Linked DNA regions of Drosophila melanogaster. The protein of the gene in region 2 interacts with the protein of the main gene of each other region in a pairwise test. Each region holds a gene or a part of one and is shown on either strand. Other genes may lie near its edges. The genes, in order: dati and CG10621.

The links.
Region 1: the proteins of CG10621 (region 2) and dati interact in a two-hybrid assay, tested with the Drosophila melanogaster proteins (one large-scale study listed by BioGRID).

Annotation. Positions count from the first base shown.
Region 1 is NC_004353.4:393,692-397,626, forward strand, and holds the start of dati (datilografo), read right to left. Parts: upstream 1,915-3,935; 5' UTR 171-1,914; intron 1-170.
Region 2 is NT_033779.5:18,952,340-18,956,274, forward strand, and holds the start of CG10621 (uncharacterized protein), read right to left. Parts: upstream 2,093-3,935; 5' UTR 1,933-2,092; intron 1,452-1,932; exon of another isoform or gene 1,235-1,451; 5' UTR 1,222-1,234; coding exon 1,065-1,221; intron 999-1,064; coding exon 819-998; intron 659-818; coding exon 1-658. Other genes in the region: Bhmt (Betaine-homocysteine S-methyltransferase), read right to left, coding at 3,605-3,935.

The DNA.
Region 1 (3,935 bases), on a different chromosome or scaffold from region 2:
AATCGTGCCACCTCGGAATAACGGTCAAGCCGGAAAACGGAAACTTTGTTCTTGTTACACGTATGTATATATATGCACGCATATGTTTATATATGTGTGTATATAAGGTATGATCGCCATTGTGACTGTAGGGATTCGATATTAACATGGAAGTTAGGATCAATAATTACCTTGAAAACAAACATATTCTCAGGCGATTACAGTACGATGACGGTTACGTCGCAGGTGATGGGCGGCATACCAATCAGGTAATGGTCCTATATTAGAAAATCCTATATCCTATTGACTTTTTACGTGCGACGGCTTTGCAGTTGAATGTCCGTGGGCTTAATATATACTTGAATTAGGTTTTTGATGTATTATTAAAAGTCATTTAAACTTAAGGCCGGAATAAGGCACACGTTACGGTGTCGCGATATATTGGTTATAAAATTCATTTATCGCCTATTTATCCCAAAACATGGAGTTAGATTGATGCAGTTTCTATTTGAATTTGTTTACATATAAATTTAAAAATTTTGTAAACGTTTGAATCACAATTTGTTACCCGATACGATCTACTATTTTGATGCCCAGATTTGTATTGTTCGGAAATACCTACATATGTACGCATTGTGACGTCTCATAATTTAATATACATATAAAAATATAATATGATATATTCCAATTTTAAAATAATTCGAGGTTCACATTTGTAACTTAAACGAATATTTAGTTTAAAATATCGTCCATTATATTACCGAAGAATGATATTTTGATTATTTATAGTAGCAATATCTTTAATTTTATATACTATTTTACGTACTGTTTACTATAATAACCACTATCTCTTCACGCTTAATCATGTATCTATACTATTATTTTTTGAGTATTGCTCTTATCATTAAAAAATAATAAGCGACTTGGTGTATAGTTACGTATGGTTATGCTAGGGCTAGCTGTAGGGTATGTGATAGTTCAAACTGTCTGTTCCGGTGTCAGTGTGTCTTCGGTAATCATTCAGGGAGTGTATTTTGTAGCTGTAGAAAATCTAAATGTTTTATTATATACTGTTTAAATTAGTATTAAGAGACTATATATGCAATTTAAATGACTATATGGTTATGTACACATTTGTGTAAATCATATAAATCATATTTTCGATTAGTAGCCTAGTTTGGACTTAAATCTTCACGTAATCATATTTTCGATTAGTAGCCTAGTTTGGACTTAAATCTTCACGTAATCGTTACTAAAACATACAGTTTTATATTGTATTAAATTTATAATTCTTTTGCGCATTCATTAATGTCGTTTTGTACTTTTGATTTCAATTTTGTTGTAAATTATATTTTTCATTTGTCTAAAAAGTAATTTTTAAATGGGTTTTCTCGTTGGTCTGTTTTTATGTTAGGTTATATTGGTTTAGATGTTATTTTTCGGATTGGTGATGAAGTTAATGTTGATGTGGTTCTTCCTTTTTGGTAATAGGTGTAGAAAACTTAGTTAATTAATGCATCTGTTCTATTGCGTTTAAAACTGAAAGATGGCTGGGTTGAGTTAGGTTTGTCGATTTGATCGTTTAGTTACGGATTCTTCTTTATTGTTAAAAACGATTTTTGGTCTATTGTGTTTGTTAAAATTATGATGATCTGAAATTAAATTAAAAGAAATATTGTTTTCATATTTTCATCTGAATTCAGTAAAACACAAATGAAATCGTCCAAGTAAGCATTGCCAAGCAATTCATTTGTGCTTTGTTTTTTTTTTTTTATCAAACAACTCTATTATTTGGTTAGTTTTTAGTTTTTAGCACAGTCCACAATCATTTTATATCTGGTTTAAGCACATTTGATAAAATAAAAATGATCCGCGAGGTCAGGACGATCCGCAGTCGGTTGTTCTACTCCATGGAATATTGCGTTTCTGAATGCCGCATCCAAAATAATTGAGAATAAAAATCATCGCCTCGGCATACGTTGCTTCCCAAGCTGGAGACTGGGATGGAGACAGCCGGGTGCCGAATTGGGGAAATAGCTGGCAGCAGCGGTGTGCTTATTATAAGATAAAAATTGTGTGTTAAACAAAAAGTGACAGCAGCGGGAGCGACAACAACAGCGAAAGCGGCGGATGTGGATTCAGATCCTTGCACTCGGACAGGGAACCTGTGCCAGCGCCGGCGCTGTTGGTAACTGCAGTTGCAGTGGCAGTTGTTTCAGCATTTGCAGTTGCAGCTCTACACTCAAAAAAAAATTGAATAAAAAAATTTCAATAAAGCACCAATTCCTGAATTACAATTCTTAAGCTCGGAGAGCTTATTGATATTCTTATTGCTCCTCAATTACACCTTGTAGGGATGACCTGATGAGGCCTCTAGTCTCTGTCTAGCCCTGCCCGTTCCCTTCTCCGTCTAAGGCGCGGGATATGGCTTTCTGGTCTTTTTTTCAAGTGTATTAAGCTGCATGCTATTGTTGCCCAGCGCCCATTCACTCCACGTGAGTCTGTGTGCGTACAGTGTACAACATATATGTATGTCTGGCCCATGCCGCTTTCATATGCGTTTTCGTTGCATCATCCCCTACGCCGCCCTCTCCAACTGATAACTCTCAAACAAGCAGGCGGAGGGGGGCTGTTGCACTCGTCGTTGGTCGTCGGGTCCCGTCAGCGCTGCACTTCCGCAGTAACATCCCTTATGGCAGCGTTGCAGCGTGATGACCACTGCAACCACCCAGCAAACCGACCTCCTCCCTGCTGTCTTGCTGCAACCACAGCACAGTCCGTTCTGGTCGGTGGAATGCAAATTTGTGCATGATTTAATGTCTACTTCAAGGCCTCTCTGGCACCTCCTGGCCCTGTTACTACCCCTGCCCAGCTCCTGTTTCTGTCCACGTTCAGCCATCTCCCTTCCGCCGCCGGACAGCCAGCCAACTGTTTCTGTCTAGCTCGAGTTTTGCGCTGCACTTGTGCATGTATGTGCGATATGGCTGCATTTCTGGTCTTCGTCACGGTGCGGCAGTATGCATTTTAATGCTTATGTGAAGTTCTTATGTACAAACACGTACACAATCAAGTGGGCGGCTCGCAAAGCACATAGGCATCCGGAAAACACTATTGAACCCTACCTTTTCAAAATGAATGTGCAGCCGTGTATGCTGCAGCATATACATATGTACATATTTAGGTAACGTTAGCCGCCACCTCTGCTGCTCAATCGATTTTGGTCTGTGCTTTGGTCTGTGGGAATCGACCTCTATCGATTTTCTTTAATATTATATTTATTTATGTACACACATACATGCATGCATTCGCAACAATTCGTGGCGTGGAAAAAAGCGGATACCTAGGGTATATGTATGTACATAAATATCTTCTTGCAAATTTGAATATTGTTTTAAAAGTATACACATGCTCAGTAAAAAAAAATTACAGGAAACCCACTATTTTTTTGTTGAAAATTATGTGCTATTCCCATAGATATATTTTACAGCAGTCGTACATGATTGATAAATACCTTATAGTATAGTACATAGTATCTTTTGGTATTTGGCTGCTATCTTGGATAGTGATCGAAGAGGACTTTGACGCCTTTTGGTGAGATAGTAGACAAGGCTACCATGAAGTCGCATTCACATCATCTCATAAAAGAGATCATAAACCCGAAATTCTATCAAGTCAGTCTAAATACAACTAGTCAATCCGCATACATATCTACATAATCTAAGGTTCAATCGGTCGACAGCTACGCATGAGCTTTAGGCAAAACCTAGGGTCCCGCGGTCTTAAAAATGGGCTTACAGTGTACAGCTAAATACAAGGACAGACCGAGCATACCAAATGTTCAAACTCACTTGACTCAATTGGTTAAGCTGAGAACTTGTGCTCAGAAAACGTGTTGTTAGGTTGGCTCAATTACGCACGTCAAACCCGGTCACGCTTACCTCAAACTGTCCTGATAG
Region 2 (3,935 bases):
TATGAGAGCTTCTTCAGTTTGTTCCAGTCGCGAATGGCCTCCCCGATGTGGCGTATATCCCTCGCATAAGTGCGACAGCATCCCCCAATGACCTTGGCCCCCAGTTGCGCCCACTCCGGAACGTAGTTCGCCAAGGGCACACAGTGCTCCCTTCCCTGCCAGCCGTTGACCACGTCGTATACCTCTCCGCTATTGGGGTACACCACCAACGGTATCTGCTCACCCACTTCGCGGTCACCATTCAAACTCTTAAAGAGCGGGGTCACAAACTTCGGATGCACACAATTTACTCCGATGGCCAGGCACTTATCCTGGGCATTTCGTTCAGCCAAGAGGTCCCAAATAGCATTCGCCGCGTCCGCAAAGGTTTCTCCATGCGCCAGGGTATTCTCATCCTTGCACTGGAAGGCCACCCAGAACTTCACATCCGGATAATCATCGCACAGCATCTCCACCAGGGCCTCCGCCTCCATTTGACAGGGAATCGTCTCGATGGCCAGCGCATCCACACCAGCCTCCAAGCACGCTTCGATCCTCACGCGATGCCAGTCCGTAATCTCCTTGGCCGGCACAAAGTCGGCATAGCTACCGGTGTACTCGGAGCCATCGTGCAGGTGGGCCCCAAAGGGTCCAATGGAGGCAATGATCAAAGGGTATCCTTTAAAAACAATAAATTGGAATATATAATTGGTAAATATTACTATATATAAAATAAAGTATTAAAGAAAGTATTAAAAGTAATGACCCTACCACATCATTCACTTGACCACAATCTAAATTAATCCCGCCCGAGCTGGACCTCATGGATGTCAACTTACCCTCCTGCACCGACAGCTGCGCCTGATAGCACTCGGTGAGATAGCGTTCCTTGGCGATGTGGGCCAGGCGGACCGTGTTCTTTATCAGCTCGATGCTCTGCTCCTCGTCCAGCTCCAGGTACTCCATGTAACCATCGACACTGGACTGGTAGGTGTTGGTCAAAATGATATCGGCACCATCTGGTGTTGTCAAGGGGAAAATTCAGTTAGTATGTTGCCAATTGCTACCGGAAAACAATTGCTTACTCTGCAAAAAGTCCAGGTGGGTGCTGATAATGGCCGCCGGATTGGTGGCATTGAAGCGGGCACTCCATAGCGGATCCCCATCCACAGAGTCACCCACATGGACGGTCATCTGGGTGCCGAAACCGCCATCCTTCACCAGCACGCGCGTCAAACCCATGATTGAAAGATTACTAAGAGGGGTGGAGGATGATCCGTTGAAAATTGATTATTAGTTACATTTCTACGTCAGCGGGCTGCGAGATAATTAAATATGTATATTGCGTCTGCCACCTGGATTCCACTGCACTCAGGGCGATGTTATACAATGTATCGGAAGAACTAATCTCTATTTTTCAGTTCAACGAACTTGGCAGAACAAAAGACCAGTGGCTTAATCTAAAAAACACACTGAGAAAAACAGCTCAAAGTTCTTTAGCTAAGATATATGTTATATGAGTCTTATGATTTATTATAAAAAAGATTTAATTCTAGGAGTATTCAGCTTTCACTGAATAGTATACAAATTTAAAACCAAGGTCACATTTTTACGTATCTCAATAAATGGCGAGTTAAAAGCCTGAAACATTTTATTCTGTATACGCTAAATTCAAAATATACATCAGCTCTTTAAAATTTGGCAACAATTTTTGAGAAATATATATCTTTTAAAGTGAATCATTTATTACGTTTCAAGATCTATTCTTGTTCCAAATTAAAAAATATATTAATATTTAATATATGTAAGTATTCCAAGCATAACATTTTTAGATTGCTTATAAGATCCCTTTGTTGCACTTTTAAGCATACTCCTTGGATAGTGTATACACCGTCTGTCATCAAAATCTATCGGTAGGGAAGCGAAAAACACACGATAAGGTCTCGCACTCACCTTGACAGCTTGTTTATGGATCTTGTAAATGGGCAAATTCAATAACAACTTTATTAGACACTAGACTGGCTGGTTGGTTATCAAGTGGTTATCACAAATCTTTCGGAACGGTGGATATGATCAGTCGCAATGGACGCTCGACGAACGTTTAAATGTTTCACGTATCGTCGAGGGGCTTTTATACTTTCCGAAGGGCCACTCAGCTGTGCGGCTCGGCTTATCAGGGCGAAATTTATAATATTTATAATAATTTATAACAAAACAAAACGGCAAACACAAACATGAGAGTGCCCCCACCAAGTGGGTGATAAGCCCGGTGCACAGCTGCCAGACGCTGGCCAGCCAGATTGGATTGTCCGGGTGGACTGCGACTCCCCCTCCACGAGGCTGATGAAGCTGATGAAATCGTCAAAGCGCCGCTGTGCGTGGTTCTGGCTTCCGAGTGACTCTGCTCGGGATGTCGCATCTGCTAAGTCGACGCCGATAACCTCTGGACGCCGCCTAGGACCAACACTTCAAGATGTACTTGGTTGTTGACTCTGTCCTCCTTAAAGGAAAATGGGTGAGCTTCCGACCGCACTCAATAGATTATGGTCCAAAAATAGGTCTACTGATGTCAAAGAGAAAAACAACATTTAACCCCTATTCTGGTAAACAAATCGCTAATGAACAGGAAATAAGACATAAGATATATCAAATAAAATCTCCTCTAAAAGAGATGAGCTTAAAGTGATGATTGTTATTAATATTTGGACAAAAAAAAAATAAATAAATAAATAAATAAATAAAGTAAAATGTAAAGTAAGAGATTGACCGACAAAAGGCTTTCAATTTGAAAATGGCCGTTAAAATCATGTTTTTTGAACGAAGTATCCGATTAGGCTGATTGCCAGATTGGGTCAGAGTGCAATAGGTGGACATGTGGCTCCACCATCCTCAAAAGCTTCAACAGCCAAAAATGTAAGTACTCTTTTAAAAATGCGGTATGAAGTTCCAAAAAATTTTGAAATATCTTTCATAGTGATAAAGTCGAGAACCGCAAGAATAGAAGGGCATACCCTTCTCTATAAAGTACCTTGCGTACCAGAAGGCGTTTGCCTTGGTACATATGTAAGAAGTGATTAGATTTGATGAATCTCTAATGAAGATATTATTTTAATACTGTACTAAAAATATGATATATTGAAGATAACTAAAACAACTATTTTTGATATTTTTGTAGTTTATTGCTTTACATCAGTACATACATACACACTTTTAACAATATTAATTTTAAAGAATTTAAATCCGGCTATAAAGAATAGAAAGCTAAGAACACAGCAAGTTTTTCAAAGGACAAATGCACGTTTTTGTGTTATAATTGAATAGAAAATTGTTTTGATTTGGACTCAAAAATTGAGCTAGGTTGGCAAAAACAGTCGTTGGGCGAACGTCTGCCCATATCCCCAGCCCACTTGTTTACCTTTGGTCCGCCCGCCTAATCTGTGTTTGTCTCCCAGCCAGCCGTCCACGCTTTTTTCCACACTCTGCTGATTAGGAAGCCATCTGATCTGGGTACATCTAGTACTCGCGTATATGTATTTAGCAAACTAAATAGGTCTAGGTCTAGTCACACGAAACAGCTTTCGCATTAGCGACAAGGCTGCTATCAGTGACCGGAGTTCTCTCCCGATTACGGCTTTATGTTGAGGCCATCGACGTACTTGCGGATCGCCAACACGTCCGTCGGATAGACCCGGCAACAGCCGCCAACGATGCGCACTCCCAGCTGGATCCACTCGGGCACAAACTTGACCACCTCCTCGCCGGTTCCAGTCCAATCTCCCTGCTCGACGTCGTAGATCTCGCCGCGATTGCTGTAGACCACCAGTGGGATGCGATCCGAACCGGCCACTTTGGTAAGCGATGATAGCAAAGGGGTCACGAATAGTGGGTTTACACAGTTCAGACCGATCCCAAGGAGCCGGTTCTCAGCCTTCCGACTTTGGACCAACCGCCAGAGG